Lytechinus pictus: one gene and its partner. The protein of the gene in region 1 purifies or fractionates together with the protein of each later gene. This does not show direct contact. Links are inferred from orthologs where the notes say so. Each region holds a gene or a part of one and is shown in the gene's direction. Other genes may lie near its edges.

Region 1 (3,934 bases):
AGTCCAATAAAAATTTCTTATTTTCAAAAGCGTTGGCAATTTTTTCTGTAAGATCTAAAAGGGCATGATGAGTACTGTGTCTCTTTCTAAACCCATACTGTCTCTCATATAGTATATTATTCTTTTCAAGATATGTCATCACTTGATCACAAATTATTTTTTCGAAAATCTTGCTAAAAACAGTTAAAACAGAAATGGGTCTGTAATTATTCAAATGAGTTTTATCTCCCTTTTTAAAGGCAGGTAAAACTTTGGCAAGCTTCAAAGAATCTGGGAAAGTACCATGTTCAATTGAGAGATTAATGATATAGCACAGTGGTTGGGCTATTGCAAAGGCAGAATGCTTTACTACTTTCGGATGGATACCATCATAACCTTGACTTTTATTAGCATCTAGTCCTTTGATAATTTTAATAACATCACAAGTTTTAACTGGACAAAAAAACATAGCCGGAGGGTGATTAGAACTTTTAAATGAGATTTCTAGTTCTGCACATTTAAGGACATTCCACACTTATGTTTGTGCGCATTTAGATATGCGCATATTTTACACTCCGCGCGCTGACGTCACAATGGATGAACAGGTGATTAATTTGCTGTGGGTATGAACTGATTTTTCTCATCTGCACTCTAACTGCAGATCCGATGCATTGTTTTATGAAGCTAAAAACCTTAACTTATTCCATGGACCATTTTAAAAAACATCTCTACAATTTCAAAATACTTTACTCTGCAGTTCTGCCAAAAATCACGAATATGACTCTGAGTTTGAATAAATGGTAGAGTGGTTTTAATTTTTTCTTCAAATAGATACAAAGCATTTGGCGCATTTTTGTGTTTTAAAAAGCACATTTGCTCTAATGAAAATGCTGATAGTTTGAAAACAAGCACATGAAGCCCTATTTTTTAATGTTTGCACCTCTTAGGTATACCTTCCTCTACAACTTTGCAAATTTTTGGTGAAAATGACATGGATTTTGAATAAAGTGCAGCACTTATTGTACTTTTGTAGTTTGTTATTGAAATTTCACTTTTTTTAGATTGGGTTTTTGTTATTTTTACGCCATTTTTAAGAACTGACAGTGCTGTTAGACTTAAAATTGCAAACAAATAGCTCTATAAATAGATTTTCCATTCTAACGATACGATTATTAACTCTCTTGCGAAATTTGATGACTTTTTCATGTATTGAGACTGAGTAACAGGTTAAAACTCATTGTAGTGATCTTGCAAGGTCTAAAAATGCCAAATTCTTTTGAATGCGCAATTCGTAAGAACATCCAGTTGGATGAACTTTGAAGCTCTATAGCAAAAAATCAAGCACATGGACCTATGTTGATTTTTGCATATTTCAAATATTCAGGTTCCAAAGTATCTATGTGCAAAGTTTGGTGAAAATGACATGGATTTCATTTTAACTGTGGAACGTCCTTAATTGAGAATAAACATGTTATGTTACCATTTAATTTAGGAACAATTCAGCCGCATGTCAGAGGGACATTTTTAGGGGTGTGTTAAGAGGCCTACATTTATAAATTACAGTTAATTTAACCTTTTTTTTTATAAAATTCATTTTTCTTTGTAGGCATCAACTGGGACAGCCATGTCTTCTCAACTGGCAGTCAATGACATCACAATGGATGACCTAGGAGGTCATGATAGGCCAGGGGTTATTTGGGACCTTGACCCTAACTTAACCCATGAAATCTATGAGGATCTTGGAGTTGAAGTTTTAGACAAGGCAGAGCCGAAAAAGATTACCCAGAAACAGAAAAGTAAAAAAACTCCACCAGACCAAAAGGTAACTCCTTCGCAGTCACTGATGTAGATTTGGCCGGCAGAAGGGCGTGATCTCTCACTCTGTACAATGCGCATAGCATGGTTGGGCTCAATTACTTTCTTTAATTACAATTATTTAATTGAAGAAATGTTCAGTTTACAATTACTTTTCAATTAAATTACAATTACCAATTGCTTTTGTCAATTGCAATTACATTTTCAATTACTTTCTAGAAAAGTCATAACTGAAACCAATTTTTATTCTGTACATATTACCACCTATTTCAACATAATTTTAAGTTACAGAGAAACTGACGAGATGAAGGTTTAGGTTGAAGGGCACGAATTCTGCCTGTTACTCTCTTTGAGGCTGAAGCAGTTGACATGAAATAGGTCATGGAATTAATCATAAATTTTAAAGTAAGTTTATTGTAAAGTAATTGAATGTAATTAAAAGTAATTGACAGTAATTGAAGTCAGTTACATTTTTTTTCAATTACAATTACTTTTCCGTTCAAAACTTCAATTACAATTATCACAATTACTAAAAAAATGTAATTAATTATGGAATTGATCAATTACTTTGTAATTGGCGCATAGTGCATGCTTGAGATTTAAGTAACACCCTTTTGGAATTGAAAATCACCGTGCACACACAACATACTGCCCTTCTGCCAGCCAGGTGATGATATATTAGAGCCAAATATAAAGTTTTGTCATTTTAAAGATTTGCATTACTTCATAAAAAAACTTATGTGCATAATGTGGGCTGTAAGCCTGCTCTATACAAATTGGAGCCCATGATAAAATAGGCCTATCTTCTTTTTTTATAACATGATTTTTGCATGACATTTGATAAAAAAGTTTGATTTTAAAGAGTTTTTATAAACATTTATGAAACAATGAAGCTTACAATAATGATAAATTATAAAGTCAAAAAGGGGCCTAAGCTTTCGATCCTAGCAGAATCTTCGTCGGAGGCAAAATGACAAACATATAAAGTGGAACAACCATAATATAGACCACAAACAAGCTACAGCAACACTAGTCACTAGAAACAAGGAGACAAAAGGGGCATTAGTGAGTAGAGAAGACCAATCAGGTTAGTGAAGGGGATGAAAGAAAAGGAGTAGGCAGACACAAAGGGAAGTTAGTGTAAGTAAGGCCAAGAGGGATTAAGATAATGAGGCAGGCAACATCAAACAGGATCTGGAACAAAACAGTGATAGAGGGATGAATAACTAGAGAATTAGTGAGAGGTGGGTCAAACAGGTTACAAAGAAAGGCTTAATAAACTGGTGCATAAGAGTGGGGGGAAAAAGAAGAAAAAGAATAGGGAACAACTGATAATGTGCAAAAGACATATAAGTATATATGATAAAGCATTAAACAAACTAAGAGAAGAAGGTAAGTGTAAATATGTATCTATAAGTGATATGTATATAAATATATCCAAAAAAGAAATGTATATGAAAAAATATATAAATATATACACATATGGTGTAACTGATATGGTAATCCGCTAGGTGTGACGGGAAAAAACATAAGACTATATAGTAGGAAAGAAAAAAAAAAAAATCTGTATATGTGAAAAAGAGGAAGCAAATTGCCTAAAAAGGTAAAAGCAAATATAGAAGAGAGGGGGTGTATTATGAAGAAACCATAGTATACATGTAAATAAGCAAATGTGGTAAATCTAAAAGAGGTGAGTGGAGAAAAAACAAATATATATATATATATATATAATAATTATTATATCGCCTGAATAAGGAAGGAAAAATTGGAGCTGAGCTTGTATGAGATATGGGAGGAAAGTAGAGTAAGAAACTGTAATGTAACTATTCAAAAGAGCTGAGGGGAAAAATTATATGTATATATAAATTGAAAGTGGATAGGAAAGAAAAATCAGTCGTTCCCCTCTTGGATGTTCAGGCCATGAGGTTGGGTGGTGCGAAGTCGTCTCATCCAGAGCTTCTCCCTGCTAGTACGGACTGAGTCAGGACGGGTACCTAAAGATTCGATGCCCTGTAGCATCATGTCAGTGATGGAGTGGTTGGGGAGGTTAAAATGGCGGCCAACTGGAGTGTCCAGCTTTGCTGTGTTGACGGTGGATCTGTGCCCGTAGAATCGTTTCTTGAGTGTGGTCTTGGTTTCC
Region 2 (3,934 bases), on another chromosome or scaffold:
CAGTGTGTGTATCACAGCTGATTCAAGGAGTCTGCATAGCAGACTAGGTCTACTGGAGCTGCAGATCGCTTCGCTCGCCCTTTCAGGCTGGTTTGCTTCGCAAACCAGCTGAAGATCCCACTTCACGAGCCATTCAGAGTCTGCATAGCAGACTACGCGGCACCCGATGAAGGGGAAAAAAGTCGGTCTCGTGGACCTTCGGCCTCGCGGGTCTTCGGTCTCGCGGGCCCTCGGTCTCGCGGGTCTTCGGTCTCGCGGGCCCTCGGTCTCCCGGGCTGTCACCGAATAAACAGAGAAAAATCATACTAGCATATAGTGCTGAATATTTCATAAAAATCGGATATAAAATAAGAAAGTTATGACATTTTAATTTTCGCTTATTTTTCACAAAACAGTGATATGCACAACTAGGTGAGTCAGTCGATGATATCCATCACTATTTCTTCTGTTTTTTATTGTTTGAATTATACAATATTTCATTTTTTTATAGATTTGACAATAAGGACCAACTTGACTGAACCACATAGTATGAAACAATGCTAGTTCCACATGACCAGGGAGGAATTAATCGTTTTATCACTTGACAATGAGGAGAAAATTAGAATATTTCATATAATAAAATACAAAAGAAATAGTGAGTGGATGACGTCATAGTCTCCTCATTTGCATACCAGCCAGGATGTGCATAATAACTGTTTTGAGAAATTAAGCGAAACTTTATTAAAATGCCATAACTTTCTTATTTTACATCCGATTTTGATGAAATTTTCAGTGTTATGCTTGTTGAAGTTTTCTCTTTTTATTTAAATCAACTTTTTCTTGGGGTGGACTTGTCCTATTTAATGGTAATTTTCATGGAAGAAACCTTAATTGTGAGTGTGACGTATAGTGAACAAGTGGACATAAACAAAGTTGTACATACTGGGTTAGTGACCTCTATACAGTTCAACTAATGTTTCTTATTTTAAAACATATATTGATCATTTCTACTCTTACACTTGTGTTAAAATGCTATGATAACTTTAGGCTTCTCATAATCTCTTCCCTTTCTTCTCAGTTCCTGACATTACTTTTTTCTCGGAATGCATATTTATCTTCACCCTCTTCCATATATTATGCATTGATATACGTTGTAGGCCTATTTGTTTTTTTTTTACTATCTGTTTTAATACTGATATTTTACTCTATACAAATTTACTTTATTCAGCCTTTGGCTAGCTGCGAATTGAATGTTATCATTTATCTGTTTATTATTTATTTCTTTCATTCATGTTATACCATGAATGTTTGGAGGTGCCATAACTACGAACAAAATGCTCATACGATTCCTACACATGTAATGCAAGCGGATTAGGCCCCAACAAACTAAACGCTTTAAAAAAGCTATGTATCTATATTGAAATCATAAGGTTTGTTTAAATGATTAAGTTATTATGAACGAAATCAGGGAGATACATTAGATGTGCACGTACGACGAAACGTGTGTGGTCAACTTGTTAGACTCTTGCGCGAGCCGTTTCTGTGTGTTTTTTTAAAAATATTTTGGCGGCCGCGGAGCTGAGCAGTGATATTTTATGTAAATAAAAAATACGCCACCGCACCCGGCTTGGTGTGAAACTGTGTATTAACAGCGTTTGGACTCTTCTTGGTCCTGACTTGGAGACATCATTTGGGATTTTTGTCTAGCTTCGTCATATTTGTCGCCCTGAGGCTGAGGGAATAACTAATTCTGGAATCTGGATTATCAACTTGTATACAAAAGTTGCAGAATCTACGGCTGTGTAAGTGCGACTGTGACTTTGTCTAACTCAGTCTCAGTCAGTCACTGTGTTTGTTAATTGTTATGCGTGTGTGTCAGGAGGACACTGATATTACCAGCGCATGTGATTTTTATGCGCACATGACAAATAGGAATATCACAAATCCATGTGATTCCGTAGGACTGGGAGCAAATTAAATCGCCGAGTATTAAGTTTTAACTCATTTGTTGCTAGTGCCGTGGCTAGTGCCAGTGACTAGACAGCTGGCAGTCTCCCGGAGGGGGCACTCAGTATAATGGGTATGTGCCGCGGAGGGGACCCCCATTTACACTCAAATTTCCGATGCAAGGCCAAGCCCAGGCCAGGGCAAGGCATAGGTCTAGGCCCTAGGCCATATAGCATTTTTCTTATTTACCGGTGCATAATTTAGGGTGGGCAATGCCAATGCACCAGATTTATGCTGTAGACATGTGCTAAAAAAGTCAATAGGTGAATTTGGCTCAAATTTTCATTCTAAATTCTATATTAATGGATGCACAATGTAGTTAAATGTAGCAACATCTGCACATTTTCTGGCAGCCAAGTTGATTATCAATGTGACATATGTTTCCTTGGCTCCTCACAGTAGCCTGGAGGCGTATTGGGAGTAAAAATTATTTACTACGTAGTACGTAGGCTTACTCCCAATGACGCCTGGCACGGGAAGGCATTGGGCCACACGAAGGAGAGTTTTTGGAGAAAACAATGTTGCTCCAATATACCGGTACTTGATTTGTTTAACTTGCTAGCCACACACTTATGTACATGGACAACAAGTTCAAATCCTCCCATTACGTACATTTATTTATACTTAAAAACTATAAATATTAGAAATATTTAAGAAAAATTATGTAAGAAGATGAGCAGATACTCACCGATGATCTTGTCGCCATTTTCCTTCTTTGTTCGTAGCCTAGTTACAAGACGCGTTTTTATTGGCTAATGCAAGTATTTTACAATTCACGATATTCATCAGCCGATTGATTTTTATTTTCTTTTTAAATTGGCACTGCTCATGATATCGTCGCCCGATCTTATACGCGTCTTGGTTGACGGATTCGTGTTCAGCGGCAAAAATGACCATGGAATCCACCCGTTTAAAAAAATTTGTCATTTGCCCACCTCTACCCATAGGAACACGAATCAAGAAAAAAACTTCATCGAAAAGAACATTTCTAGGTTGAGAAAATGTCAAATTGACTAATACATACATGTACATGTTGACCTGGAAACTTGCAGACACAACTGTACTTTTTCCAGTACATGCGTTATGTATAAAGTATACCATTTTTATATTAAATGATATAAAATCAATGTTTGGTGGACAGTCGTTACATGTTTTACTGGACACGCAGTATCACAATGCATTCAACATCTCTTTATATATTACCGGTATGTTTTTATTTTGTATTTATAAATTTCTCTTTTTGAAAAAAATCTTTTATCAGGCATCAATCTCCTCTTTTTATCCTATCATTTTTTTTTATGACAGAAAAGGTGAGCATTGGCAAGAAATATAAATTGGAGCCTGTGTTGTATGGAGAATGTGTTGTTTGGAATCCAGTAGATGAGACAACCATTTATCAACATGGATGGTACTGAGTTCAAAAACTGGTTATGTCACATGGAGAAAACATTTGTTCAAGACCTGAATAATGAGCAGCGTTGCTCAGCATTAGACTGTCTTATTGCATCATCGGGGGATGTACAACTCCGCCATTTATCCACTAGATTGGAAGGACTCTTGAAAAGGGATTTTTTGCGACTTTTGCCCAAGGAACTAGCAAACTATTTGTTGTCTTGGCTTGATCCTATAACTCTTGGAAGATGCTGTCAAGTCAGTCATCACTGGAACAAAATGGTGACAGAGTGTACAGAGGCGTGGCAACAGTCTTGCAGGTAACGTCAGATCCAAAGGACTCTTATCTACAAATGCAAATTCTAGTAATTGCAATGCAAACTGAAATCAAGATTGGAGTATATGAAATTTGAAAATCATCTTCTGTCATATAATGTTCATATCATAAGTTCTGATTGGAGAAATTATATTTTCTGAACAAGGCATTTTAAGCAGACCTTTCAAATTTCATGATAATATTGTAATTTCAATCAGAATCTGAAAGTCAGGTCCATAT

Evidence for each region.
Region 2: the proteins of S-phase kinase-associated protein 2-like (region 1) and F-box/WD repeat-containing protein 2-like purify together in Homo sapiens (affinity purification with western blotting; 4 studies listed by BioGRID). This does not show direct contact. The link is inferred for Lytechinus pictus from reciprocal best matches to the Homo sapiens genes SKP2 and FBXW2.

What each region holds. Positions count from the first base shown.
Region 1 is NC_087255.1:4,700,599-4,704,532, reverse strand, and holds the start of S-phase kinase-associated protein 2-like, read left to right. Parts: upstream 1-1,590; 5' UTR 1,591-1,603; coding exon 1,604-1,801; intron 1,802-3,934. UniProt on the Homo sapiens protein: Substrate recognition component of a SCF (SKP1-CUL1-F-box protein) E3 ubiquitin-protein ligase complex which mediates the ubiquitination and subsequent proteasomal degradation of target proteins involved in cell cycle progression, signal transduction and transcription.
Region 2 is NC_087245.1:43,999,800-44,003,733, reverse strand, and holds the start of F-box/WD repeat-containing protein 2-like, read left to right. Parts: upstream 1-1,566; 5' UTR 1,567-1,781; intron 1,782-3,291; 5' UTR 3,292-3,366; coding exon 3,367-3,698; intron 3,699-3,934. UniProt on the Homo sapiens protein: Substrate-recognition component of the SCF (SKP1-CUL1-F-box protein)-type E3 ubiquitin ligase complex.